4 linked regions of the Pelodiscus sinensis genome follow. The main gene of each other region encodes a partner of the protein of the gene in region 3 in a complex. Links are inferred from orthologs where the notes say so. Each region holds a gene or a part of one and is shown on either strand. Other genes may lie near its edges.

What was found. Proteins that work in one complex are often made in the same cells at the same time.
Region 1: DDX39B (region 3) and THOC3 share a complex: the UniProt entries of both Homo sapiens proteins name them as parts of the transcription/export (TREX) complex. The link is inferred for Pelodiscus sinensis from reciprocal best matches to the Homo sapiens genes DDX39B and THOC3.
Region 2: DDX39B (region 3) and AKAP17A share a complex: the UniProt entries of both Homo sapiens proteins name them as parts of the spliceosome. The link is inferred for Pelodiscus sinensis from reciprocal best matches to the Homo sapiens genes DDX39B and AKAP17A.
Region 4: DDX39B (region 3) and ALYREF share a complex: the UniProt entries of both Homo sapiens proteins name them as parts of the transcription/export (TREX) complex. The link is inferred for Pelodiscus sinensis from reciprocal best matches to the Homo sapiens genes DDX39B and ALYREF.

The regions. Positions count from the first base shown.
Region 1 is NC_134727.1:40,973,546-40,980,395, reverse strand, and holds the start of THOC3 (THO complex subunit 3), read left to right. Parts: upstream 1-3,835; coding exon 3,836-4,057; intron 4,058-4,563; coding exon 4,564-4,720; intron 4,721-5,829; coding exon 5,830-6,034; intron 6,035-6,850. Other genes in the region: SIMC1 (SUMO-interacting motif-containing protein 1), read right to left, coding at 870-1,517, 3,577-3,630. UniProt on the Homo sapiens protein: Component of the THO subcomplex of the TREX complex which is thought to couple mRNA transcription, processing and nuclear export, and which specifically associates with spliced mRNA and not with unspliced pre-mRNA.
Region 2 is NC_134711.1:223,232,544-223,240,196, forward strand, and holds the start of AKAP17A (A-kinase anchor protein 17A), read right to left. Parts: upstream 3,016-7,653; 5' UTR 2,908-3,015; exon of another isoform or gene 2,847-2,907; intron 2,779-2,846; exon of another isoform or gene 2,575-2,778; intron 2,007-2,574; 5' UTR 1,527-2,006; coding exon 765-1,526; intron 1-764. UniProt on the Homo sapiens protein: Splice factor regulating alternative splice site selection for certain mRNA precursors. Mediates regulation of pre-mRNA splicing in a PKA-dependent manner.
Region 3 is NW_027465831.1:175,564-182,764, forward strand, and holds the start of DDX39B (spliceosome RNA helicase DDX39B), read right to left. Parts: upstream 3,006-7,201; 5' UTR 2,872-3,005; intron 1-2,871. UniProt on the Homo sapiens protein: Involved in nuclear export of spliced and unspliced mRNA. Component of the TREX complex which is thought to couple mRNA transcription, processing and nuclear export, and specifically associates with spliced mRNA and not with unspliced pre-mRNA.
Region 4 is NC_134730.1:29,740,941-29,748,355, forward strand, and holds the start of ALYREF (THO complex subunit 4), read right to left. Parts: upstream 3,016-7,415; 5' UTR 2,992-3,015; coding exon 2,761-2,991; intron 2,551-2,760; coding exon 2,419-2,550; intron 1-2,418. Other genes in the region: ANAPC11 (anaphase-promoting complex subunit 11), read left to right, coding at 5,274-5,382, 5,468-5,613. UniProt on the Homo sapiens protein: Functions as an mRNA export adapter; component of the transcription/export (TREX) complex which is thought to couple mRNA transcription, processing and nuclear export, and specifically associates with spliced mRNA and not with unspliced pre-mRNA.

The DNA.
Region 1 (6,850 bases), on a different chromosome or scaffold from region 3:
GAAAGGGAAGGGTACGCAGCCGGGGGCCGTGCTGCGGTCACCCAGGTGGGGCTAGCTTGGACGGCTACCCAGCCCCAGGTGCAGCACCATGACTACCGACTGGTGCAGCTGGGGGGTGTCATGCCCCGCGGGGGGGCTTTGAGCGATGGCTCAGTCACCCAAAGGCAGCTGTGCTGTCACCCGGCCGGCCCTCTCCAGGAAGCAAGAACGCCCTGCATCCGCCTCTAGGAGCTGAGAAGATGCATCTAGGCCCCGGGCAGTGCAGGCACTCACGGATTGGCCTGCGGGCTTGCCTGCCTCCAGCACAGGAGCCCATCTCAATGGACCGTTGCTGGCCCATGCTGACACCGCCGGGTTCCCGGCTCGCCGGGCCCTTTGCTAACGGGGCATTTCCCCAGCACCAAACCCCAGCAGGACGGCAGAGCTCACAGGCCGGCCCAGCAGCTCCTCGGGCTGGTGACGTAAGCTCTGCGCAGTGCTGCCCAGAGGGGATCGGCACAGGCTCATCTGCGCAGAGACCGCACCTTTCCCCTTGGCGCACGCAAGCGGAGACCTGCTGTCCCCTGCCCTCCGCGGGACCTTACCAGGCGCGACCCGCTGTTCGAGCTCTGCCTTGCTGGGGCGCTGCTCGGTACTGAGCGGGCACAAGGCAGCCAGAGGCCAGGACGGGCGCATTGCAGAGGAGGTGGCCAAACCCCAAGTCATTGGTAACCCCCCCCCCGAATTTGCAGTGCGCTGGCTGCAGGCTGGGATGTTGAGCCACAGAGCCCGGCTGACGGGAAAGGCCGGGGGCGCAGCCCAAGCATCGCCCCCCCATATGAGAGGCGCCACCTGGCCCCGGGAGGGAGGCAGGGGCCCCACGTGCTTACCTGGCGGGTTTCCTCGTCCTGTACCACTCCCTGGAGGAACAAGTGGTGCACCGGCATCCTCCTGAAGTAGCGCAGCTTATGCAGCCAGGCCTTGTGGACCAGCCTCCGCCTGCCTGGCTCGGGGGGTTCCTGCTTCGCTGCACCCAGCACCCAGCGACTAGTCTCCAGCAAAGGCCACTCTGGAGACCCGCGGCCGCTTGCAGGGGGGCAGCTGGAGCGGTCGGGAGAGAGTCTCTGAGCCGGGGGCAGGGGCCCGCAGTCCGGGTCGTCCCTTGGCTGGCAGCTACTGGGAGGTTCGGGGACGGAGCAGTCCGAGCCTGCCCTCCAGCTGCTGGCCGAGGAGAAGGAGAACACGTCGGAGTCCAGCTGGAGGCTGGCTAGGGAGCCCAGGTCACTGTTAATGGTGGTGCTGCTGCTGCTGGAGTCGGAGGAGAAACAGCCTCCCCCGTGGGTGCCCTTTGTCTCCGCGTGGGCTCTGTCCCAGGGGGCCCCGCAGCCTTGCTCGGCCTCCTCTTTGCTTTCCTGCTTTACGGCGGGGAGCAGGGGGCCGTGGGGAGGGAGCGCACACTCCGCGCCGACCTCGGGGGAGCCCTCCCCCTCGGTCAGGTCAATCACCGCCAAGTCCTCGCCCGTCAGATCAATGACCTCCTGGGGAGAGAGAGAGCCGTCAGTGCTGCCCCCAAGCCTTGGGGCCCCAGGACGGAGCTCAGCTTCAACAGCCCACATGAAAGTCTTCCTCACGGGCAGCATCAGCACCCAGAAGGCCCTGCCGGGACCCCACGCTCACCCGTGAAGAAAGAGGGTTGAAAGATGGGAGCGGGCTCCCGGCAGAGTCACAGGAAGGGTTAAAAGACTCAAGAACAAATGTCAGAGACCCCCGGAGCTCAAGCTATTTCGCTTGACAAAGAGACGGCTAAGGGGAGACTTGGGCACAGTCTGGGTGTAGCTACGTGGGGCTTCGATGTATCAAGGACTCACGATCCAATGGCCAGAAGCAGAAACTAGACTAATTTAGACTAGAAATAAGGCCAATGTGGAAGAGTGACGGTAATTAGCCCCGGGCCAGCCTACCAAGGGCTGGGGCGGATTCTCCAGCCCTGGCAGTTCTGAAATAAAGAGCAGATGTTTTTTCTAAACGCTCTGCTCTTCGCAGCCAGCGCCTCGGGATTTGGCCCAGAAATTCAGAGCCGCCTTCGGTTCTGCTGCTCAGATGCGAGCACAGCGGCCCCCTTCTAGCCTTAGAATCACGGAGGGGTTTATGCAAGCCAGTGCTGACCCAGAGTGCCGAGAGGTCGAAATACGGCAACTAGTCATGGTGAAAGTAATTTACAAAGCATGCTGGTACAGGAGCCCAGCTCCCGGGGCCCCAGTGGGAAGGGGTGGAGGTCAGCTTCCCCCAGCCGGCCTTTCAAACCAGGGCCTTTAAACCACCAGGCCCTGGGGCAGCTGCCACTTTTGCTCACCCCCTCATGGGCTGTGCCCAGGACGGTAGGGGCAGCCACTTCTCTCCGGCACGCCGTACCCACCCACTTCCACCCCGCTGCCGGGGCACGAGGAACTGGACTGAGAACAGCCCCTCTCAACTCGCAGGGCCTCAGCCAACAGGATAAGCATTGGCAGCCACTGCAAACCTGAGCCATGTCTGGCCCCCGAGCCAGCCAAAGTGCTGGTACCCCTGCCAGCCACACCAGCTGACTGGCTCTGAGGATCAGGCCTGGCCCATGGAGGTCTGGTTAGGCATAGTGAGTGCGTGCATGTGCACACAGGGGGGCGCCCGGCGGGAAGCCAGGGATGGTGGTGCACAGGGGCTAAAGCAGTGGGGCATGAGAGTTTGGTTTTGGGGTTGGGCAGCGAGGGGGATGCAGGGGAGCAGCACGGGGCGGTGTGTGGGGGCAGCACCGGGGGGCCAAGAGGGGCATGGGGAGGCAGCACCGGGGGGCCAAGAGGGGTGCAAGGGGTTGTGGGGGGGCATAGCGCTGGGGGGCCCAGAGGAGCGCAAGGTATGTGTGAGGGGCAGCGGGGGGGCCCAGTGGTGCAGGGGAACAGTGGGGGGCCCAGAGGAGTATGGGGGCAGGGGCAGATATAGGGCAGGGCGAGAGGGGCGACTGCCCTGGGCCCCGCGCATGCGCCGTGGCAAAGGGGGGCCCCGCGAAATTGGACTGCCCTGAGCCCCGCAAAAGGGGCACCTGCCCCTGCATGGGGGGCAGCACTGGGGGGCCCAGCGGTGCAGGGGGAACAGTGGGGGGCCCAGAGGGACATGGGGGGTGTGTGCGGGTAGAACTGGGGGGCCCAGAGGGGCATCGGGCGCGGGGGGGCACGGGGCTGTGGGGGGGGGGCGGGAGTCTGGTGCCGGGGCGGGGGGGCCCAGAGGGGTTCGGGTGTGTGTGGGGGGGCAGCACTGGGGGGCCCAGGCAGGTGCAGGGTGGCGCGAAGCTGTGGGGGGCAGCACTGGGGGCGCGGGGGGGCCCAGAGGGGTGCGGGTGTGTGAGGGGGGCCCAGGCAGGTGCAGGGTGGCGCGAAGCTGTGGGGGGCAGCACTGGGGGGCCAGCGGTGCAGGGGGAACAGTGGGGAGCCCAGAGGGACATGGGGGGTGGGGGCAGCACTGGGGGCGCGGGGGGGCACGGGGCTGTGGGGGGGCGGGGGGGCCCAGAGGGACATGGGGGTGGGGGCAGCACTGGGGGCGCGGGGGGGCGGGGCCGGGACTCACCGCGTGGCCCCGCTCCGAGCCCGAGTGGCGGGTGCGCGCGGCGCCCTCGGCCATGCCCCGCCCCGCGCCGCGCGGGGGCGCTCACGGGGGCCGGGGGGGCAGGCGGCTGGGAGCGGCCCGAGGGGTCCGCGCGCGGCTGCAGGCGGGGCCTGTGACCCGTGCACGGGCCGGCCGCGCGGGGGCGCTGCAGCGCGGGGGGAGGGGCGACGTCCCGCCCCTGGCGCCGGAAGCGGAAGCGGAAGCGCGGGCGGCGGTTGCCATGGCGCTCTCGCCGTACGTGCAGGCCATGCAGGAGCTGTTCCGGGCCAACACGCGCAGCCGCGAGTTCCCGGCGCACGGCGCCAAGGTGCACTCGGTGGCCTGGAGCTGCTGCGGCCGCCGCCTCGCCTCGGGCTCCTTCGACAAGACCGCCAGCGTCTTCGTGCTGGAGAAGGACCGGCTGGTGCGCCCCCCCGGGGCGGGGCTCCGGGCGGGGCGGGAGGTGCTAGGGGGCGGGGCGGGGCTGGGGTGGGAGGGGGCGGGGCTCCGGGCGGGGCGGGAGGTGCTAGGGGGCGGGGCTGGTGGTGGGAGGGGGCGGGGCTCCGGGCGGGGCGGGAGGTGCTAGGGGGCGGGGCTGGGGGGCTTGGCCTGGGGTGGGAGGTGCTAGGGGGCGGGGCTGGTGGTGGGAGGGGGCGGGGCTCCGGGCGGGGCGGGAGGTGCTAGGGGGCGGGGCTGGGGGCTTGGCCTGGGGTGGGAGGGGCTGGGGGGGCGGGGCGGGGCTAGGGGGCTCCGGCCGGGGCGGGAGGGGCTGGGGGGGGGGGCTGGAGCCCGCAGCCCGCGACGTGTTTGGGGGGTTGGGGATCGTTCAGTCCACAGAAGAGCAGGGGGGGGGGGGTTGAGAGCAGCCTGCGGCTCCCGGGGGGCCAGAGGCTCTTCTCAGTGGGGCAGGGCGAGGGGCTCGAGGCTGGCGGGGGCGGGGGGTGAAGGAGAACAATTCTCTTCCTGTAGGTGAAGGAGAACAATTATCGTGGCCACGGGGATAGTGTGGATCAGCTGTGCTGGCACCCCAGTAACCCCGACCTCTTTGTTACCGCCTCTGGAGACAAAACCATCCGTATTTGGGACGTCCGCACCACGAAGTGCATCGCTACCGTGAACACCAAAGGTGGGTGCTGATGTGAGGAGGTTAGAGGGACCCGCACATCTCAGTACAGCTACAAACACTGCTTCTTTTGCAAATGCATCCTGCTCCCAACATGGATGCCAGTAAATTCAGGAAACCTGAGAGCTCTATATGATCAGGGCTCGACAAACTATAGAATCTACTCACCCGTGGCGAGTAGATTTCAGCTGCACACCCCATTTACCGGTGGCATGCGCATGCTCAGTGCGGGGCTGGCGAGCAGCTTTCACTGCCATTTGTCAAGCTCTGTATATGATGATTGTGTGGCAATTGCATCTTTCTGGCTCTTAGTAGCAAATTATAACTATACATTACACCAGGGGTTCCCAACCTTTTTTGGCTCCCGTACCTCCTTGACAAGCTTCTCGTTCCCCAGGTTGGGAACCCCTGCATTACACTATCTCCAGGGAGAATTTGTGTGTGTACCCAGCATTAGCCATGTTCTGACACAGTGTTAAACACCTGAACCTGTTTACATTAGCGCTAGTATTGGTGGAGGTGCACTGATGTTAGACTGTCTCAAAATCTCTCTGGTGTGTGGCTCTAGGGAGAAGGGATAGCTAGAAGTTAGAAAAAAACGTTGAGTCCTCCCATTTCTATTTTTTAAGCATCTTTTCTTCCAAGGTTTCGTTACATATTCATTCCAGTCAGTATATAGGTGGTATATAGGTGCGGGAAATGTGTGCTAGGGTGCTATGCAGGTGAATCCTGCTCTCCCTAACTCAGCTGGGATTAGCAGCACCCCTGCAAATTGTTCCAACACCCCTGAGTCACTACTATGTAAAAAAATTGTTCAGAAACAAGGAGGAGTCCTCTGGCGCCTTAAAGATTAACAGACATATTTGGGCATAAGCTTTCGGGGGTAAAAAGCACTTTGTCAGATGTATGGTTTTTACCCACAAAAGCTAATGCCCAAATATATCTGTTAGTCTTTAAGGTACCACAGGTGCTGTCTGTGCATTTTGCCACTCAAGGCAGAAGGTTTGTGGGGCAGACCTGGGTTAAACGTACAAGAGTCTGTCTATGGCACATGAATGGCTCTTGCCCCCATTAGTGGTGCGGGAGGACCTGCCCACTCTCTTCCATTCCAGGAGAGAACATTAATATCTGCTGGAGCCCCGATGGCCAGACCATTGCTGTGGGAAATAAGGATGATGTGGTCACCTTCATTGATGCCAAAACACATCGCTCCAAGGCTGAGGAGCAGTTTAAGTTTGAGGTGAATGAGATTTCCTGGAACAATGATAACAACATGTTCTTCCTCACCAACGGAAACGGCTGCATCAACATCCTCAGGTACTTACCGGCATGGTCTCTAGTGCGGGGCCCCCCTCTTACATCTCCTGCCCTGCTCCCTCGGGCTGTCTTTCCTTCTCATGGCTCTTGTGTAGACTGATTGCCTTGGCAATAGCTGAGGGCTACAGTGTGGTGTGGTTGGGGGGTTGTGTGCTGTCATAAGCTGGCTGGTAGACGAGGCTGAGAGGTTCCCAATGGGGCTCTAGTCTGCTGTCCTTTGATCGCTAACCCTTTAGGGTTCCTTGCTGGGGGTGGGCCTTAGGGGGTGGGCCTATCTCAGGGGAACAGGGTGTTAAAAGAAATGGGAGTTTTGCGAGGCAGATGTACCTAGTAACGGCTCCAGCATGAGACTGGGAAGCACAGGACACCGGGTGCACAGAGGTGGGAGATCGCTGTGAAGTTATCCCCTGCGACACAGATTCAGCGATGAGGCTGCACCCATCTCTGACCCAGCGCAAGGACTGGGTCTACCCCCAGAAAACCTCAGGGTCCTGCACCTCTATGCCAGGTGCACCAGGTGTGGGCAACTCATGGCCCTCAGATTCCAAGTATGGGCTCTTGAGACCAGGGTGGCTGAACTGGAGGAGCTAAAAGAGAGGGAGGTACACTGCAGAGACTTCCAGGGTAACAGTAGAGCAGTCTCCCCTCCCCCCCCCCCCCCCCCCCCCCGACAGCCTCTGTGCTGTTGAGGGGAAGGAAAGTCTTGAATAACATCAAGCTCGAGCAATCCCATAATTGGGACCTCCCTTCCAGATGATGTCATGGTGCTCCTCTGGGGCCCACTTACTAAGAGACAGGTAAACAGTAATGGGGGAT
Region 2 (7,653 bases), on a different chromosome or scaffold from region 3:
TTGCTTTCTACAAATATATCAGAGGAATACCATTTATATATACTCATTAGCCCACTCGTTTATAAGACGATTCCTCCCCCAAGATGAATAGATAAAAATGGAAAACTGCCATGATCCATTCATAAGACAATCCTATATTTCAGTGGCTGGCACCCTACAGCTCCCAATGTCTGCAATTTGCCATTCCTGGCCAACAAGAGAGGTGGGAAGTAGTGGCCAGTACACCCCTCAGCCCACAATGCTTTCTACAGTTCCCATTTGAGGGGAATGATGAAATGCAGCCATTGGGAGCTGAGGGACTTCAGGCCTGAGGACACTCCAGATGCACCAGGAAATTGTGTTTACCAGCAGCCTTCCTTGATGGGTTAGATAATGAAGTTTGCCATCCTCTAATCAAGAATGTGGAAGATCTAGAGGAGATGGGTTAACATTTACAAAACACAACTTTTAAGAATTTAAATGTGGCATTTAGAACACAGACTTGGTTCACATATTTAGCTCCCACACTGTATTATTCCTAGCCTAAGGGCTACGTCAATATTAAAATTTTATTTTGTGCATATTACCACTCCTTCACTATCACACCTTATATCTGAAATTTCACTATGGATATTGCAAGAGACTATTTTTGTGCTGTCACTTCATCAATCTGACCTGATATCCATATAAAATGAGGGTCTAGATGTTAACATATATGGAAAGGACCTTCAACAGTAGTTTTTCCCCTTTAAGATCTATTACAAAATAATTCCACAGTTCCTCACCTTTATATTGCAAGCCACTGCTTTTCCATCATCACCTTTGTACATCAGTTTCATCCCTCGCAGAGCATTCATGGCCTTGATGAAACCTACATACTCGTGATACTGAACATAAGCTTCAAAATTCAAATGTCCTCCAAAACTGAAAGTATGAAAATTTCTTCCAGTCATTTCTTCTCTATATGGATCCAACATGGGTATGTCCACATTACGTATTTCCCCAAATTTATTAAATACTTTTATAAGGACTTCTTCACTTGGTTTTTCTGAGCCAGAGTCCTTCAGTGCAAACCATTTGCAAGGTAACCCCTCTAAGTGAATGGTGTCTGGTCTCTCGCCTGGCAAAGTTTCATTCATATCTTTTGCATCACGGAAGAAAGAGTCCCAGTCATGTCTAGTAGGAAAGTCAATTTTATATTCTGCAGCACGAACTTTTAAAATGTCAGAGAAGCCACTAAGTTTTATTGTTTTGCCATCAAGGCATGCAAGAAAGGACTTAACCAAACTTTTGTTTTCAACCTCTCCTTCAAAACGAATAAAGTCCATGGTACTTTTGGAAATCCGTAGTGTGGAAAACTGATGCGTTTGCACCATTCCTTTTAGTCTTTCCATCACTTCCCAGTTAGAAATGGATTTTCCTGGTTGCTTCAGCTGAGGAAGGGCCACACTAATAGTCATTTTTGTAATGGGTTTAAGATATAAACCATATGTAGAACAGAGCTCTACTGCTTCGGATGTATCATGAACTATGGTAGCAGCAGCCATAGCACAAAAAAAAAAAAAAGTATAAAAACAGTAAGGAAAATGTATACTAAGTGAACTTATAGGCCACACTAATTGAGGAACATAGTCCCTATCTGTAAATAACTGACCATTTCTGAGACTTAAATATTACCAAGTAAAGCCACTGATTCTTGGCATGAAAGTTAATTAGGAAATTTAACAGCATTGCCATTATAAACTGTTTTCTAAACATCACAATATAGGAATTCAGTTCCAAGACTTAAATATTAGCCACAAGAATAAAGCCCACAGAGAAATTGAAAAGCTGATGATATGAATAATAAATATGGCTTGATATTCAATGACTCAACCGTTAGTTATGCTTCAGGAGGAAGCATTGTGAAACTCATGTTATCACCTAGTACTAGCATGAGCAGAATAATTGAAGTATTAACCAGAAACAGTTATACTGCAACAGTCCAATCTTGAAGAACTCCATATTCTCAAATAGATGACTTTATTCTGGAAAGAAAGAAAAACAAATTTCCATTTAAAGGGAAAAATTAGCCTTATAACTCTTGCTCAGACCTAAATATATTATACATGATGCAACTTGAAGACAGCGAGAGCCCTTTCCTAGAATGGGAAACAGCAACACCAAATAGTATTTGATTTACTCAAAACACATTTGTGAATGTTATCTATAGATGTGCTCTACTTGTAAGATAATTTCACAAATAGATAGATTTGCCAGTGATTCACAAATACAACTCTTATCAGTCATAAAATAAACTGAGAAAATGAGAAATCAATAAATGACCAACAAATTCACCTTCCACATACATTCCCCATAAGAAAGTATTTCCATCTATAAAAAGTGAAATTTGCAGTCAGGCAAAAGAAGAAAAACCGTACGCGTGTTTTACAGCTACTTATTGTGTATATTTAGACACAGGATGTTGGTAATTTGCCTTTTAACCAATACAGAAGCTTTAACTTTTTTTTTCCTACGTCCAGTACATAAACATTGTCTGATCCGGCCCCCTCCCCCATCACCCCCGAATTCTGCACAACAGGGCCAGAAACACACGTTTTAAAAGCTCTAGAAGAACCTTGAGCGGCGTCCTTCCCAGGCGGCACCTGGCGCTTCCTTCCCACCTGATTCCGCTGCCCCCTCCCCCGCCACCCACACCCCGGCCCGGGCAGCTCGGATAGAGCCGAGGGGGGTGAGGAGGGCTGCGAATGTTTACGGGGACAAAGGTCACGGCTACCCCCGGGGAGGGCTCTGCGGCCCCCGCCCCCACCTTCAACAGAGACGGGCCTACTGGAAACCATGGGGGGGGAGGGGCTGGTCTGACTCACCCCGCGACGGTCTGCGACCCCTTCCCCCTCCAGGCCGCCGCCGCTGCCGAATGCGACTGACCCAAAAGAAAACAGAGGAGCGGGCCTCCGCGCCGGCGTCCCACAACCCCCTGCGGGCGAACTTCCGCTTCCGGGTTGGCTCAAGCGGAGGGAAGGTGAGAAACAACGATCCCGGAGCGATGTGGAAGTGGCCAGGCTGGATCGGTCCTCCTACTCTATGGTGCCAGGAAAAAAAAAAAAAGGCAGCCCGGCGCGGAATGCGGGCGCGCGCCCCCTGCGGGTGCGGCTTGGTGTCGCCAGGGCCAGAGGAGCCTCCATGGCCCGGGGGCGGAGCCCGATCCCTGGGGAGGGGGCAGGCGCGCGAGCCTGAGCCTCTCCCCTCCCCCAGCAAGCCCTATTGCAGCGTCCCAGCCAGTGCTCTGGAGGCCCAGAGCAGGGCTCTAGGTCGAGCTGCTTCCCTCAACTAATGTGATGGTGCAATTGCGCTGGCACTTTCACAGAATCACAGAATACTAGGACTGGAAGGGACCTCGAGAGGTCATCGAGTCCAGTCCCCTGCCCCCATGGCAGGACCCAGTACTGTCTAGACCATCCCTGATAGACATTTATCTAACCTACTCTTAAATATCTCCAGAGACGGGGATTCCACAACCTCCCTGGGCAATTTATTCCAGTGTTTAACCACCTTGACATTAACTTTTTCCTAATGTCCGTCCTAAACCTCCCTTGCTGCAGTTTAAACCCCGTTACATAAAACCTTTCCATGTAAAAAAAATGGTGTGGAGAAAAGCTTGAAAAGGCGAGACAAACGCAGTATGTGAGAAACCAAGAAAAAGATCCCACATTTTACTTGTTTTTAAAAAAATCTTGCGATGTTTTTAATACCTGGCTTTGGCAATACTGAGGTTCAGTTGTTGTGGAGGGGACCTTTTTATGGAGAATGGAGAGGCTGAGAAAATTAGTACATTTATTCTAAATAGGGTCGCCAGATGGTTGAAACAAAAATACTGAACACCCTCCCCCCCCCCCCAAAAAAAACAGAGAAAAAATTCTGTTGAAGGAAAAAAAGGGGTGGGGGGGAGACCAAAGTTCTTGAACAAACAAAAAAAAGACTCCGAGACCATTTTGTGCTGGGAGCCTTGCAGAACCAGGTAAACATGGGGGCTGGGATCAGGCGGCTGGGGGTGTTGGGAGCCAGGAGGGCAATCGAGCAGGGGGAAAGCAAATTGCTTCTCAGTTTAAATCTCTGGGGGTATGTCTGCACTACAGCGCTAATTCGAACTAACTTAGTTCGAAATAGTTAATTCGAATTAGTTAATTCGAACTAAGCTAATTCAAATTAGCGCAGCTAGACTTAAAAACTAGTTCGAATTAGCGTTTTGCTAATTCGAACTAGCATGTCCACACAGAGTGTCCACACGTCCGTTAGTTCGAATTAACTTTGTTGTGTAGACATACCCTGTGTTAATCATAGGATCACCGCTAGGGTTACCAGGTAGTCATAAAAAAAAAATACCGAGAAAGGACCGGCCGGGAGGGGAGCAGTGATGGCCGGGAAGAGAGTGGGGGGGGCCGGGAAACAGAGCTAACTGGGGGGGGGCAGCAGAGCTGGCTAGGGAAGATTGGGGGGCCGACGGAAAGCAGGGCTGGTCAGTGGGGGGGGTCGGGCGGAACAGGGCTGGCTGTGGGATATTTGGGGGGGTGGCCAGCGAGGGCAGAACTGACCGGGGGAGCTCAGGAGGAGGGGAGAACTGGCCGCCAGAAGCAGGGCTCTCAGGGAGTGCAGCGGGGCTGGCCGGGGAAAATCCAGAGCAGGAACTGGCCAGCGAGACTCAGAGCTGGCGGAGGGGGCAGGGGAGCAAATCAGCCAGCGTGGAGCAGGACTGACCCGGGCTGTGCAGATCCTAGAGCGCTCCCGTCACACACGAGTCAGTCCGGCTGCGGCTCCACCACACGCTTGACCAGCGCGCAGGAGCATGGACCGGGCTGCCCCTCCTCCTCACATGCAACCAGAGGCTCCCAGTGCCGATCATGCCCCGCCTCCCAGTCACTCCTGCCCCCGCCAGGCTTCTGTCCAGCGTCCAGCCAGAAAACCAGGAAATACCGGACATTGCACATATCCAGTGTTTTCTGGATTTTTTTTACCGGACAGAGGGCCAAAAACCAGACTGTCGGGTAGAAAACCGGACACCTGGCAACCCTAATTCTAAATCATTTACTAGTAATGCTTAATGTGGTAATGCTCACAGGACCCAATAAGGATTAGCACTCCAATGTGCTGAATGCTGTACAAACACGGGAAAAAAATCCTTGCTTTGATGGGCTTAATATCAGTACTACCCATTACATATACTATGTAAATAACTTGAGAGATCACCATGTTTCTAAAATAATCTGACTTTATTACAAGAACTATTTACAGCGGTGCTACAATAGTAGCTAACATTCCAGGCACATGCACACAGACTGGCTTACTGGTGACTCTTTCAAACTCTTCTGTCCTGTATCTGTGGAGTTCTGTGCAGTATGCAATACCAACTCTCACTATTTTATGGCTACTCTTTCCACATATTTAGTGTTCTTCTTAAAGCTGCAGCTCTGGATACAAGTGATGGTGTGAGAATCTCACTTCTCATGTAAACAAAACAAAACAACAAAATAAGTAGTTGCCCTCTGTTGTGGCTTGACTCTTTATAGAACAGTCATCAATATGAAGAAACCACGTGGGTATATTTAGGTCTGGGTGTTTGCTAATTACCATGAATTAGCAAATATAACCCATGGGTTATATATGTTTTTACAAACCATGCGTCCCCTCCCTCCATGGGGTATACATGTCTGCGTCTTATATAAATTGATTTATACTCCAGGAGCATCAGTTCCCCTAAGCGTCTCTGCTCGCCCGCCATGAGAACAGGATTAGCTCTGCTGCAGAGAGGGCCTGACGAGCTTCCAGCGTGTCCGCGCACGCTCTCCATTCTCCCCGCCCGGAGGAGGGTGGGTGACGCCTGGCTGCACGGGGTGGGCCTGGGCATGAGTGTGTCTCCCTCTCGCAGTCCGTCTGGCTCACTGACAGCAGGATGGCTGTCGCCTTGTGTCTGCTGTCTATGCACTGCTGCCCAGGGCTGCTGTAGAAGTCCCTGTGGGTTATAAACATACGCGGGTAATCTGCAAATTTGACAAATGTAATATACGCCATCATGTGCCAGCAATGCCCCTTTGCTATATACATTGGCCAAATTGGACAGTCCCTACGCAAAAGAATAAATGGACAGAAATCAGATATTAGGAATTACAATATACAAAAAACCTGTAGGAGAACACTTCAATCTCCCTGGACTCACAATAGCAGATTTAAAGGTAGCCATCCTGCAGAAAAAAAACTTCAGGACCAGTCTTCAGAGAGAAACTGCTGAGCTGCAGTTCATTTGCAAATTTGACACCATCAGCTCAGGATTAAACAAAGCCTGTGAATGGCTAGCGAATTACAAAAGCAGTTTCTCCTTTCTTGGTGTTCACACCTCCATATCGGCTACTAGAAGTGGGCCTCATCCTCCCTGATTGAATTTACCTCGTTATCTCTAGCCTGATTCTTACCTGCATATTTATACCTGCCTCTGGAAATTTCCACTACATGTATCTGAGAAGTGGGTCTTTGCCCACGAAAGCTTATGCTGCAATACATCTGTTAGACTATAAGGTGCTACAGGACTCCTTGTCACTTTTGCAGATCCAGACTAACACGGCTACCCCTCTGATACTTAAAGTGATATATCACTTAATTACCATATATATAAGCTTTCATGTTTGCAGAGAAAAGTCTGTGAATGTGAACTGATTATACCCTAAAAGGCTCAAAAACCAGAAATCAAAAGATTTTTTAAAACATTTTGTTTATTTACAAGTTATTTTAACCCCAATCCTGTAGTTTTAGGGGTCAGACTCTTGATTTCTGAAAACTTACCATAACCGATACTGCAATCTAAAATCACAAATGTGAAGGAAGTAGTGAAAGGGAATATCACTTCACACACATTGGCTGTGTCTACACTGGGCCACTTATTCCAGGAAAGCAGCCGCTTTTCTGGAATAAGCTGCGAGCTCTCTACACTGGCCGCTTGCTTTTCCGGAAAAGCAATGACGATCTACTGTAAAATTGTCAGTGTTTTTCCGGAAAAACTATGCTGCTCCCGTTCGGGCAAAAGTCCTTTTCTGGAAAAACTGTTCCGGAAAAGGGCCAGTGCAGACAGCACAGTAGTCTTTTTTCTAAAAAAGCCCCGATCGCGAAAATGACGATCGGGGCTTTTTTCCAGAAAAGCGCGTCTACATTGGCCACGGATGCTTTTCCGGAAAAAGTGCTTTTCCGGAAAAGCATACTGCCAATGTAGACGCACTTTTTCCGGAAATACTTATAACGGAAAACTGTTCCGTTTTAAGCATTTCCGGAAAAGGGTGCCAGTGTAGATGTAGCCATGAAGTGAAATGGTAAGCTGAAGAACTGTCATAGCACTGCTAGCTATATGTACTGAAGTTTGTTTATAACTTTAATGGATGCTACTGGTGCTTGAGCTTCTTGAAAAGCATCTTTACTGTCATTAAAAATCTGTACAAATACATAACTTGAGGTTTATTTTGTATATCTCACTTCTTGCCTATTGGTGAACATTCCTACAATTATCTATTTGAAACAGTTGACTTGTAAGATTGTTTCTAAGCTTGCAATTCATTGGGAAAATCATCCTCATCAAGAAGAAATTTAATTTTGCTCCATGTGCACCATAAGGTCTGATTTTGCATTCCCTTGCAC
Region 3 (7,201 bases):
CCCCACACCCCCTCGAACTGCCCGTGTACAGCCCAGCCCCACAGAGTGGGGGGGCAGGGCGAGCCCAGGTACAGGGGGGAGGCTGGATCCACCCCCCCCAAATCCCACAGCCGTACTCCGGACGCCACATGTTGAGGGGAGCCCTACCGAACTCCCCCACAGGCTTTGCAAACTGGACCCCATCGCCCCCCACTGGCAGTACTGGGGGGCCCCCAGCCCCACTCGTATCGCCACACTCCTGGGGGCTGTGCCCAGCTGCGGGAGAGAAGTGGGATGCAGGGGGCACGCTCTGACCCCTGCGGGCATGTCAGACCCTGGGGCGCCCCTGCTCCCCAAATCCCTCCCTGAATGCACTACAAAGCAAACCAGGCCTGGGGGCTGCTGCACCCCATAACTCTCCCCCCCCGGCCAAGGACTGAGAGAAGCAGCCTCAGCACCCTGCCCCCCTGCGGGCATGTCAGACCCTGGGGTGCCCCTGCTCCCCAAATCCCTCTCTGCATGCAGCACAAAGCCAGCCAGGCCTGGGGGCTGCTGCACCCCATAACCCTCCCCCCCCCCCAGCCAAGGACTGAGAGGAGCAGCCTCAGCACCCTGCCCCCCTGCGGGCATGTCAGACCCTGGGGCGCCCCTGCTCCCCAAATCCCTCCCTGCGTGCACCACAAAGCCAGCCAGGCCTGGGGGCTGCTGCACCCCATAACCCTCCCCCCCCAGCCAAGGATTGAGAGGAGCAGCCTCAGCACCCTGCCCCCCTGCAGGCATGTCAGACCCTGGGGTGCCCCTGCTCCCCAAATCCCTCCCTGCGTGCACCACAAAGCCAGCCAGGTCTGGGGGCTGCTGCACCCCATAACCCTCCCCCCCCCCCGGCCAAGGACTGAGAGGAGCAGCCTCAGCACCCTGCCCCCCTGCAGGCATGTCAGACCCTGGGGTGCCCCTGCTCCCCAAATCCCTCCCTGCGTGCACCACAAAGCCAGCCAGGCCTGGGGGCTGCTGCACCCCATAACCCTCCCCCCCCCCCCGGCCAAGGATTGAGAGGAGCAGCCTCAGCACCCTGCCCCCCTGCAGGCATGTCAGACCCTGGGGTGCCCCTGCTCCCCAAATCCCTCCCTGCGTGCACCACAAAGCCAGCCAGGCCTGGGGGCTGCTGCACCCCATAACCCTCCCCCCCCCCGGCCAAGGATTGAGAGGAGCAGCCTCAGCACCCTGCCCCCCTGCGGGCATGTCAGACCCTGGGGCGCCCCTGCTCCCCAAATCCCTCCCTGCATGCACCACAAAGCCAGCCAGGCCTGGGGGCTGCTGCACCCCATAACCCTCCCCCCCGGCCAAGGATTGAGGAGCAGCCTCAGCACCCTGCCCCCCTGCAGGCATGTCGGATCCTGGGGTGCCCCTGCTCCCCAAAGCCCTCCCTGCATGCACCACAAAGCCAGCCAGGCCTGGGGGCTGCTGCACCCCATAACCCTCCCCCCCCCCCCCCCGGCCAAGGACTGAGAGGAGCAGCCTCAGCACCCTGCCCCCCTGCGGGCATGTCAGACCCTGGGGCGCCCCTGCTCCCCAAATCCCTCCCTGCGTGCACCACAAAGCAAACCAGGCCTGGGGGCTGCTGCACCCCATAACCCCCCCCCGGCCAAGGATTGAGAAGAGCAGCCTCAGCACCCTGCCCCCCTGCAGGCATGTCGGACCCTGGGGTGCCCCTGCTCCCCAAAGCCCTCCCTGCATGCACCACAAAGCCAGCCAGGTCTGGGGGCTGCTGCACCCCATAACCCTCCCCCCCGCCCCCCGCCCGGCCAAGGACTGAGAGGAGCAGCCTCAGCACCCTGCCCCCCTGCGGGCATGTCAGACCCTGGGGTGCCCCTGCTCCCCAAATCCCTCCCTGCATGCACTACAAAGCCAGCCAGGCCTGGGGGCTGCTGCACCCCATAACACTCCCCCCCCCAGCTAAGGACTGAGAGGAGCAGCCTCAGTACCCTGCCCCCCTGCGGGCATGTCAGACCCTGGGGTGCCCCTGCTCCCCAAATCCCTCCCTGCGTGCACCACAAAGAAACCAGGCCTGGGGGCTGCTGCACCCCATAACCCTCCCCCCCTGCCCAGGACTGAGAGGAGCAGCCTCAGCACCCCGCCCCCCTGCCTAGGTGCAAGGCCAGGAAGAGGCGCCCCCAGGCTGGCCAGGAAGAAACTGGGGTGCTGCCCACAAGCCACAACCACCCGCTTTGCCGGCTGCCGTGGGGCAGGCCCCCAGGTCCTAGGATACAGGCTGCGATGGCGGGGGGGGGGGGGGGGGGGGGGTACTGCTTCCGTGGCCTGCCCCCTGCCAGGGCCCTACTCCCCATACACTGCTACCCAATCCCCTTCACCACCCCCAACCCACCATAGTGCAGGGGCCCTGCCCCCAAACCACTGCAGCACGTCCCACCATGCACGGGGGGTGCACCCCTCCCCCATGTCGGAGGCTCCCCTGTGGGGGGGGCGGCTTGGGCGCCCTATTTTTGTGTGTGTTCGTTTCACGGCCCCACCAATACCCGGCTGGGGGGCGGCGGGGGGGTCCTCCCTCCCGCCCGCGCGGGGTCCCGGGGGCGGGGGCGGCCGGGCGGGGCCGATGTCCGCGGATGGCGGAGCGGCCCGGGGGCTGGAGGGCCGCCGGGCCGGCGCCATCTTGGATTCCTGGCCGGCTAGAGACGCACAATGGGGGAACCCGTCCATCCGGCCCCCCCCGGGGCCCCTTCCGGGCGGATTTTCGGGGCCCGGGGGCGGGAAATGGCGGCCGAGACCGGGCGCGGCGGGGAGGGAATCGCCCGCCCGAGGGGTATCAGGAGCTCCGGGGGGCGGATGGCCCCGCGCGGCGGCGATGCGCGACCGATTCTCGGCGGGGCCGCTCACCTGCTGCAGGGGGGAGGGGCGCCCGAGTCTCCTTCGAGCGGCGGCCGCGGCCAGAACTGAGCGGCGCCTCCACTTCCGGAATGTGGGGGGAGGGGTAGGGGAGCGCGCCTCGGCGAGGACCCCGCGGCCGGATGGGGCTGCCTAACACAGCGCCTGATTGGAAACAAACGAAAAAAAACCCACCCGCACCAAAGGGACCATTGAGGGCGGGGGTTTCTCTGAGGGGGACGGACACGAGCGCACTGGAGTCGGGGCAGAGGGCTCGGCGCGGGGGTGTGTGTCGTTTTTTTTCATCAGGCGATTGACAAGGACACCTCTCCCCCAGCCACCGGCTGGAGCGCGGGAATGCGTTTCCCACGGGGTCCTGCAGGCGGCAGAGGGGCTGGGAGTAGTTTGGTTCAGGCTTCGCTTTGCCTCGCAGGCCTGTGATGACGTCATGGGGCCACGGCTCGAGGCCCCGCCCCTTCTAGCCCCGCCCCGCGATAGCCTACCTCCTTTGGCCACGCCCCCACAGGCCATGACCCCAACACCACATTCTCCCTCTGGTCACGCCCCCACACTCCCACTGGCCACGCCCCCAACACCACATTCTCCCTCTGGCCACGCCCCCACACTCCCACTGGCCACGCCCCCAACACCACATTCTCCCACTGGCCACGCCCCCAACACCACATTCTCCCTCTGGCCACGCCCCCACACTCCCACTGGCCACGCCCCCAACACCACATTCTCCCACTGGCCACGCCCCCAACACCACATTCTCCCTCTGGCCACGCCCCCACACTCCCACTGGCCACGCCCCCAACACCACATTCTCCCTCTGGCCACGCCCCCATACTCCCACTGGCCACGCCCCCAACACCACATTCTCCCTCTGGCCACGCCCCCACACTCCCACTGGCCACGCCCCAACACCACATTCTCCCTCTGGCCACGCCCCCACAGTGCCCTATTCCCCTCCTGCCAGCCCCTGCCACGCCCCCACACTATCACTGGCCACACACCCCACACCACATTCCTCTCTGGCTACGCCCCCACAGTGCCCTATTCCCCTCCTGCCAGCCCCTGCCACGCCCCCACACTATCACTGGCCACACCCCCAACACCACATTCCCCTCTGGCCATGCCCCCACAGTGCCCTATTCCCCTCCTGCCAGCCCCTGCCACGCCCCCACACTATCACCGGCCACACCCCCCACACCACATTCCTCTCTGGCTACGCCCCCACAGTGCCCTATTCCCCTCCTGCCAGCCCCTGCCACGCCCCCACACTATCACCGGCCACACCCCCCACACCACATTCCTCTCTGGCTACGCCCCCACAGTGCCCTATTCCCCTCCTGCCAGCCCCTGCCACGCCCCCACACTATCACTGGCCACACCCCCCACACCACATTCCTCTCTGGCTACGCCCCCACACTATCACTGGCCACACCCCCAACACCACATTCCCCTCTGGCCACGCCCCCACAGTGCCCTATTCCCCTCCTGCCAGCCCCTGCCACGCCCCCACACTATCACTGGCCACACCCCCAACACCACATTCCCCTCTGGCTACGCCCCCACAGTGCCCTATTCCTCAGGCTGCTCTTGGCCCTGCGCTGGAGCTGGCAACAGGAAGGGACAGGACCAGCCGGCAGGGGTCAAGTCTGACAACATAGCCCGTGATCCCTGGCCCCCCAAGGCTCTGGGGCCGGGGGTCGTTCAGCTGCCCAACCACCTAGTGCCCCGGGGCTAGGAAAGCCAGCAGTGCAGTGGGGGCGGGGACTAGCCTCGGGCAGGGGGGCTGAGAGTGAGGGGCAGGGGCCGGTGGCGACGACAGGGCCTGGGTGGTCTCCAGTGAGCAGAAAAGGGGAGGGGTCTCGGGCCCATGGGTAGCAGTTTCAAGACCGGTCCCTCAGCTCTGGCCGACAGTCGAGCGGCATGCAAAATGCACGGATCACCTTTCTCCACGGCCCAGGCGCAGCTGAAGGGACAGGCCCCCGCACCTGCTGAGCACGCCCCGCAGGGACACCCCACATTGGCACTGCTCCACTCCACACTCCAGATCGAAAAAAACACAGATCCATCTGGACCACAGTCCAGAGCCAAAGGCTGGGGCAATACCAGTATGGCCTTAATGGTCATACTGCCTGGGCTACACTGTGGCTTCCCAAAGGCCGGGTCATCTAGCCCTGAATTCTAGAGTCTGTCCGTCCATCTGAGTGTCCATTCAAAAACTCAGAAACAAGAAGACCGCGGACCACCAAATTTGCCAGGCAGCTTCCTCTGGGGGGGGACTTTAATCCCCCTGACATCTGTTGGGAGACCAATACAACTGGACACAGACAATCCAGGAAGTTTTTGGAGAACGTTGGGGATAACTGCTTGGTACGAGTGCTGAAGAAACCGACCAGGGGCCGTGCGCAGCTTGACCTGCTGCTCACAAACTGGGACGAACTACTAGGGGAAGGGGAGGTGGGTGACAACCTGGGAAGCAGTGATCATGAGATGGTAGATTTCAGGATCCTGACCAAAGGAAGAAAGGAGAGTAGTAAAATACACACCCTGGACTTCAGAAATCAAACTTCAACTCCCTCAGAGAACTGAGGGGCAGGATTCCTTGGGATGCTAACATGAAAGGAAAGGAGTCCAGGAGAGCTGGCAGGATTTTAAAGAAGCCTTATTAAAGGCACAGGAAGAAACCATCCCGATGTGCAGTAAGAAAAGCAAATATGGTAGGTGACCAGATCGGAGAGGGGGTTACTGGATGAGGGAGGTGACCTAGTGACAGACGATGTGGGGAAAGCTGAGTCTGCAGAAGAGCAGAGTGAGGGGGGATTTGAAAGCAGCCTGCAACTCCCTGAAGGGAGGTTCCAAAGAGGCTGGCGAGAGGCTGTTCTCAGGGGTGGCAGGAGGCAGAACAAGGAGCAATGGGCTCAAGTTACAGTGGGGGGGTCTAGGTTGGAGATTAAGAAAAACTCTTTCCCTAGGCGGGTGGGGAAGCGCTGCGATGGGTTGCCTGGGAGGGGGGTGGAATCTCCATCCCTAGAGATTTTTAAGTCCCTGCTAGACCAAGCCCTGGCTGGGCTGATTGAGTTGGGCTGGTCCTGCCGTGGGCAGGGGGCTGGACTCGATGACTCCCGAGGTCTCTGCCCGCCCTGGGATTCTAGGATTCTCTTCTCCAAAGCGCAAGCAAGGGCCGGGTTTGCGAGGCCCAGGACAACGGGCCGTGCCGGGAATGGGGCTGTGTTCCAGCACGTGGCAGGGGAGGGGGCTGAGAGAGGAGGGAGGCGATCCTGAGAGTGGCCACTGGGGGGCAGTGAGCGCAGGGGAGAGCTATGGGGAGGGTCATCCCTGAGGGCAGCTGCATCACCGTAGGGGTGGCCAAGCAGGGCCGGGGGCTCGGTGTTCTTGCCTGCCAGCTGGAAAGAGAAGTGTGGCCCCTTCGCAGGAGACAGCCTCTGCCCCCCCCCACCCTGAGAGGAGCCGGGGGGCGGGGAGAGAGCCCCAGATAGCCCCCTTGTCCTGAGCCCTTGCTCATCCCTCCACCCTCATTCTTGCATCACCCTACACCCCCAGACTCCTGCCCTGAGCTCCCCACTCCCCAAGGGCTTGCCCTGGCTCCTGCCCCCCGCCCCCCACTGCCACGTGGCAATAGCAGGTAAGTCTGCTAGGAGGACACAAACCCCACGACCATCAGCGTCCTGACACGAGGCACAGGGATTCACAACGGAGCGGGTGAGCCCAGCTGTGGGCCCAGCGTCTTCGGGGTCACGGCCCCCCCACAGCACAGGAGCAGAGTCGGGGGCTGCCCGGCCAGCCGAGAAACACTCACATCCGTCTCGCAGCGGTTCCCCACCTTCTCAGCATCACGCCTCCGTTTTGATTTTTGAGAGACCCTCACCCCCCCCCCCCCCCCAAAAAAATGCTTGTTGAGCAAAAAAAAGAAAAAGAAAAAAAACCTGGCCAGGCCCAAGCTGTGCGTGTTCTGGCAGACGCCCGAGCCAGGAAGACACGTCCAGTATTTTCTGAATTTTTTTTACTAGAGGGACTAGGCTCTTTGACGGGGTGGGGGGCTGGGTCGCCTTGCGCCCCCCCCCCCCCTTGAATTTCCCCCGTTCGGGAACCTATGATTCTAGTGTGTCGCCCTGTCGAGTCTAGCTTCGCTATGTGGTCAGGCCAGCCGCGGGCGTGGAGCAAACAGCACCAAGAACAGCTCCCTGCTCCGGCGTCCCCGTGAAGATTTTCCAACCGTGAACAGAGGGCGTTTTGACCCGTGCACTAATATTGAGGGCAAGCGCGCGTCCACCAGTTACTAACCAATCTCTGAGAGAGACGTATTTTTAAA
Region 4 (7,415 bases), on a different chromosome or scaffold from region 3:
TCTGACAATCTCTGACAGGTGTTTGTCTAACCTGTTCTTAAAAACTTTCAATGATGGAGATTCCACAACCTACCTTGGGTAAGCTGCTCCTGTGCTTAACTTCCCTTACAGTTACAAAATGATTTCTAATGCCTAACCTAAATCTCTCCTGCCGCAATTTAAGTCCATTACTTGTCCTATCCTCAGGGGAGGAGCAGAACACACCACACTCCTTTTTACAACAAACTTTTTACACATTTGAACACTGTTATTATCCTCCACTCCCCTGTCTTCCATTATACAAAACAAAAATTCCAATTTTTTTTCCAAGGGTGGTGCCCAGAACTGGAAACAATACTGCAACTGAGGCTCAGTGCTATGTGGAAAAATTACCTCTCATGTCTTGCTTGCAACACTCCTACTACATCATCCCCAAGTGATGTTTGCTTTTTTTGCAATAGTATTACACCATTGGCTCGTATTTAGTTTGTGATCCACTATAACCCCAAGATTTTTTTCCCCTATTGTAGTCCATCCTAGGTAGTCATTTCCCATTTTTTATTTGTGCAACTGATTATTCACTCCTAAGTGTGATACTTTAGATTGGTCCTTGTTAAAGTTCCTCCTATTTATTTCAGACCATTTCTCTGGTTTGTTGAGACCATTTTGTGTTCTAATCCTGTTTACCGTCAATTACAGCTCCCATTGGCCACAGATCAGCCAATGGGAGCTGCGAAGGTGCACGTGAACAAAGCATCTCACGGCCAGTTAGTCATTTGCCCTTACAAGCCGCGACCCAGTGTCTGAAAACCCCTGCTCTATGCCACTATCCAATTAATTTACGACGATACTGAATAGAACCAGACCCAAAACTGATCCCTGAGGGACTCCATTTCAATCAATTTCCAGCTTGGCCGTGATCCATTCCTAACTATTCTCGAAGTGTGGTTTTCCAACCAATTACGCAACCACCTTTTAGGTCGGTTCATCGAGGCTACAGTTCTAGTTTGCTTATAACAGGTCATGTGAGAAAGTATCAAAAGTCTTATTACAATCGAGATATATCACCCCACTATTCAGCCCTATCCACAAGGCTTATTAATTATTAGGTTGATTTGAAATTTGTTTGACAAATGCATGTTGCTTATTACTTACCACTTTATGATCATCTAGGTGCTCACAAACTGATGGAATACTTGCTTCATTATCTTTCTGGGTTCCCAAATTAAGCAAATTGTTTATTCCCTGGATTGTCCTTATTCTCCTTTTAAGAGTTAGGTGCTATATGTGCCCTTTGCCAGTCCTCCAAGATCTCTCCCATCCTCCCTGAGTTCTCAAAGGTAATCGTTCATGGCTCAGATCTCTTCAGACAGCTCCTTCAGTATTCAAGGATGTATTTCATCAGGACCTGCCAACCTGAAGGCCTCTAACTTGCACAATGTGTTGGAAAAGACCTCTTAAGTCTCCTAAGACCTGGATTGGCACATCTGATAGCACTTTGACAACTAGGACCCAGATTATCATAGGTATTTCTGTTCCTAATTTCCATGAAAGTCAATTGAAAGTTAGTGGCCTACGTTTGAGACTCAGCACCCAGGTGACTAGCGGGAGGCTATTCTTCAAGCCTGTGAGCCTGCACTTTAGTTGTATTAAGCTAACTCAAAATACTTTAGGATATATTTGTCAATGGTCAGTGGTTACTAGCCTAAGAGACTTTCGACATGTCTCAAAGAAGATAAGTAGAGCAAACACAAGGGCTACTACATTTCAGCTGAGAGATCTTAGCTCCTTTACAATATGATGATAGTTACAGATGCTATAGTAGAAGAGTACGTAACCCATATGCTTTTTGCGCTAGTTCCCTAAAAGCATGTCCCCACCTCAGTTGACTAGAGATCTCACAACCCAATACAAGTTTTGCCTAACATAAGAGTTCTGAACTGGAAAAAAAGACAGGTTGGAGGAAGAAAAGTGGATGTGAAAAAGAGACAGTGTATGTGTGTGACAAAAAGCAAGATCTTAACAGTAGAGAGAATTAAACAAAGCAACCCTGTAAAGCATTCTATTAATGCATTTATTGGGATCTGCATGTTTCAGATTTTGGACAAGTTACATTACATTTTCAGATCCAAACATCACAGCTTTCCACACATGCACTTTTGCTCAGCCATTCATTATACAACAAACTAGAGAAAAGCTAAACAACTTTTTTTTGCACTCCAGTCACATCAGATAGTACCAAAAGAGTCAAATCAGAAGTGCTGGCTGCAATAATAATAATAATACAAAGTGAACTGCCTTGGAGATCACAGTATCCATCCATGAGGAAGGGTTCGTAGAGCTCAGAAAACACAGTATTGATGAAAAGAGGCACATGCCAACTACCGCAAAGCGTCACCTCTGGTGCTTTTCCGACGTGGGGGGGGGGCACTTTCTTACCTGGATATCTGCATCCGACACACCGAAGTCCAGATTAGAAACCAGGAGCTTCCCCCCGGTTTCCACGCCAGCCCCAGCCCCGAAGCCGCTATCGAACAGGTCGTGCTGCCACTTCTCGGGGAGCTGCTTTGGCTGAAACAGAACAAATCCCCTCAGCGACCAAGCCCCGCGGCCGGGCCCCCGCCACTGCGCTGGGGCTCGCGGCTCCTCGCCCCCTGCCCGCTGCGGCTGGGCGAGAACAAAGGGCCTCCCGCGGGCCCGGCCCCCAGCCCCGCCGGCCCCCGGGCCGGCCCCGGCCCCCGCGCGCCGCAATCCGGCCCGCGGGCCAGCCCCGCTCCGTACCCGGCTGTAGGGCGCGGGCCGATTCCTGCCGCCTCCCCGGGTCATGACCGGCCTGTTCCGCACGGGGCCGCCTCCTGCTCGGCCCGCGCCGGCGCTGCCCCGGCCGGGCCCGCCTCCGCGGCCGGCGCCCCCGCGCCCCCGGCCCCCGCGGCCGCCCCCGGCGCGAGCGCCCCGCTGGCTGCGGTTCAGCTTGATGATATCGTCCAGCGACATGTCCATCTTGTCGGCCATGATGGCGGCTCCGCTCCGGGGCCTGCACTTCCGGCCGCGCTGCGCCGACGCCGGAAGCGGAAGGGGCGGGCCCGGGCGCCAAGAAGGGCGCAGCCGCCTAACACGCCTCTCCGTTGGGCCGAGGCCGTGACAGCGGGGTGCCGGGGGCGGGACTTCCGGTACGCGGCCCTAGAGATTCCCGCCGGCCCAGCCAGAGAGTGTGAGCGGAGCTGCCGGAGCACGTGCCGGGGGGCGGGGGCCTGGCCCGGACAGATCCGGGGGGGGCTCCCTATTGGAAGGGGGGCTGGACAGATCGGGGGGGCTCCCTAGTGGGGGCTGGGCAGATCGGGGGGGCTCCCTAGTGGGGGCTGGGCAGATCGGGGGGGCTGGACAGATCGGGGGGGCTCCCTAGTGGGGGCTGGGCAGATCGGGGGGGCTCCCTAGTGGGGGCTGGGCAGATCGGGGGGGCTTCCTGGGGGGCAGGGGGAGCAGGAGAAATCTCAGGGGGACTCCCTAGGGCAGGGGGGGCTGGAGAGTTCCGGGAGGGGGCTCCTTAGGGGCGGGAGAAATCTCAGGGGGACTCCCTAGGGTGGGGTGGCTCTGTAGGGGTGGAAGAAATCCTAGGGGTGGGGCAGAGATCTGGGAGCGTTCCCTAGGGGCGGGGGGGGCTCCCGGACTGCAAAGAGAGGGGAGTGGGCAGAACTCTCTCAGGGTGGTGAAGCAGACAGAGATCGTGGAGCCCCATAGAGATCCTGAAGGGGGGGGCTTTGTGCAGTGCGCCCAGCAGCTGTGCAGTGTTGCGTTCCGGGTCGTGTGGCGCTCTCGGGGCTGCGGTGCGTTAGGTGTGTGCCAGTACCTTTCCCGTGGGGAGCAGGGAAGCCGTCCGGCCTCAGCCCTGGTCTGCAGTAATCAAGTGCCGAATGCTAATAGGAGTCGCGATCCATTTTCATTCCATGCCCGGAAACACAAGGGCACCTACGGTTCCTGATGTGCCCAGTGATGAGGCAGGGTCACTAAGCCCAACCTAGAAGATTTCAGATGAGAGGCTCCCTATGGCAGAGTTTCTATAGTAATGACTGAGCTATGGAGGAAGGGACAGTCCCATCTACATCCCACTTTGAACTGCCGCAGGGGAGGAAGCAGTGCTGACAGCCAAAGGAGATTGCATGGCCCCTGGGGATATAAGCTGTTTCAGCAGGGGAACCAACCTATGATTTACTCCTCTTAACACAACTAGGGGGTCACTCAATGAAGTTAATAGGCAGCAGGTTTACAACAAGCCAAAGGAAGTTTTTCTTCACAAAACACACAGGCTATGTCTACACTGGAGGCTTCTTGCGCAAGAATATCTTGCGCAAGGTTTCTTGTACAAGAAGTCTTGCACAAGAACACGTCCACACTGCCATGTGCGCGCTGTGCTTTTGCGCAAGAGCATCCCTGGCAGTGTGGACGCTCTCTTGCGCAAGAAAGCTCTGATGGCCATTTTAAACATAGGGCTTTCTTGCACAAGAAATCCCTGCCAAGTGTCCACGCTGACCTCTTGCGCAAGAGCTCCTGTGCAGAGGGCTTACACCTGTTAAAAAGGAGCGTAGCTCTTGCGCAAGAAGCCCTCTCTTACCACGCTGTACTGTAAATTTCCTTGCGCAAGAGCGGGCGGGCAGTGTGTATGCTCTGTGGATTCTTGCGCAAGAACAGCTACGTCTATGCTGTGCTGTCTTGTGCAAGAAAATATGCAAATGAGGCAAAGCGGTGAACATCGCTGCACCTCATTTGCACACTTAATGAGCCGCCATTTTGCGCAGCTCTTTTTTCAGGAAGAATGGCTTTTGCGCAAAAATGGTGGCTTATTAAGTATGCAAATGAGGCATAGCGATATTCACCGCTTTGCCTCATTTGCATATTTTCTTGCGCAGGATAGACGTAGCCACAGTCAACTCGTGGAACTCCTTGCCAGAGGATGTTGTAAAGACCAAGACTTTTAACAGGGTCAAAAAAGAGCTAGATAAATTCATGGAGGTTAGGGTCCATCAGTGGCTAAGAGACAAGATGGGCAGGGCTGGTGTCCCTGGCCTCTGCCAGAAGCTGGGAATGGGCGACAGGAGGGACCACATGATGATTCCCTGCTCTGTCAATTCCCTCTGGAGCACCTGGCATTGGCTCCTGTCAGTGAAGACAGGATGCTGGATTGGATGGACCCAGTCTGGCCGCTCTGATGTTCTAAAGGGTTAATGATAAAACTCAGTCTGAGTAGCTGCTTCTCATGCCAGGTGCTGACTTGACCCCCGGAGGCAGAAGCCGGCAGGATGAAGGTGAAGATAAAGAGCTGGAATGGGGTAGCCTCTTGGCTCTGGGTGGCCAATGATGAGAACTGTGGCATCTGCCGGATGGCCTTCAATGGCTGCTGCCCAGACTGTGAGTAGCCCAGGCCCTTGGCCCCCGGCCGGATTTCACCCCGGGGCGCCCTTCTCGCTCTCTCATGAGTTTTGTCCTTTTACAGGTAAGGTGCCTGGAGACGACTGCCCACTGGTGTGGGGCCAGTGCTCCCACTGCTTCCACATGCACTGCATTCTCAAGTGGCTGAATTCCCAGCAGGTCCAGCAGCACTGTCCCATGTGCCGGCAGGAGTGGAAGTTCAAGGAGTGACAGCCCCTCCCCCAGCCAGCAGATCTACTTGGATTTCACACGCTATTGCTAACGTGTTTTCTTGGGATTTAGTCTCCTCTCTCCAGACCCTGGAACAGTGAATTATTTATACAGCTTCTTGCATTTCCCTATCCCTTCCAGAGGAACCTTGCCCACAGACTGTTATGACTCACCATAGGCAAGAGGGAAGCCTGGGGCAGAGGGAGCATCTGAGTGGTGCATATTAACCTTTCCCGCAGAGATGCCGGTTCAACACGCTGTCACAGCTTTCAGCATTAATTGTTTCATCCTGATCTGAGACTGAGCATCCCACATGAGTTCATACACTTGAGTCTACGCAGCATGTGTGTGTGTGTCAGTAAAAAGCCCCTTTTGCCATGCAGACATGGATCTGTGGTTTGGGTGCCTTATTTAAAACACCCTGGACCTGATTGTTAAGACACGGCTTGTCCTTTGCAACTCCACGCCATGTCAGTAGGGTCAGTGTCTGACCCTTTGAGAAGCTGCTTCCTAAACTAAAGGGGACCTCCCTGTTTAAATAATACCTCTCCCAGCTCTTGCATCAGGGGTACCTTCCCATCCGTGTTCTCTGAAAAGGCCTCTCAGTCCTGGCTTGCCCTGCCCCCCTCACATCCTGAGACATCACCACTATTGCATGCTGCAGAGTCGGTATTGGCATTGCCTGTCAAGTGGGGAGAGATGGTCCTGCAAGTTGAAATGGGCTTCTTAGGGCCGTGTGCAGCTCTCTATCCATGATCTCAGCTGCTTATGCCTTTGCAGCCATTCCCCGTGCACCGCAGGCAGGCTGGGCCCTGAGCTGATACCTTCACATGCAGCAGTACAGAAACGAAGGTTGTTGTGAGACCCGTGGGATACAGGGCCTGCTCCCACCAGAGACCTAGCCGCTGGTCCGTTGTGCTGTGCAGCGCCAGAATCATGCCAGTTCTTTGAACCCTCGTGGCTTTGGGACGAGGCCCCTTGCCAATAGTGTGTCACTTACCGGCTGTAGTGTGGCAATCCCTGGACTGGTGTCAATAAACTCATGGCTGTGATTAATTTCTCTTCGTGCTTTTTGCTTTTGAGCCAAGCGAGGATACCCACAAGCAGGCCATGGACAGCAGAGTAGGATTGTTCCCATGCCGTCGTCAAAGACGTTCCCTAGATGTGCCACCAGGTGGTAGAATGCGGCCTCTGGTTTTGCCTTAGCCATTCTGGGTGGCGGGGCCCTGCGCTAGCTTGGCACGTTGCTTGCATCCTACAGACCAGCTGTGCTTGATGCTTCATCCTTGGCACAATCCCTCCCTGGTGTGTCAGTCCTCTACCGTGTGGGCCACCCCTCTGCGGAACGCGTAGGGGGGGCCTCCTGGTGTGCAACATGGCACATGATAGACACATAGAACCATAGAGCTGGAAGAGACCTCAGAAGGTCATCAAGTCCAGACCCCTGCTCTAGGCAGGACCAATCCCCGCTAAATCAACCCAGCCAGGGCTTTGTCAAGCCGAGACTTAAAACGCCTTGGCTGTGTCTAGACTGCATCCCTTTTCCGTAAAAGGGATGCAAATTAGACACATCGCAATTGCAAATGAAGTGGGGATTTAAATCCCCCCCCCCCCCCCGCTTCATTTGCGTAAACATGGCTGCCGCTTTTTTCCGGCTCGGGGCTTTGCCAGAAAAAAGCACCAGTCTAGACGCGGATCTTTCGGAAAATAAAGCCTTTTCCGAAAGATCCCTTATTCCTTATTTTAAGAGGAATAAGGGATCTTTCGGAAAAGGCTTTATTTTCCGAAAGATCCCCGTCTAG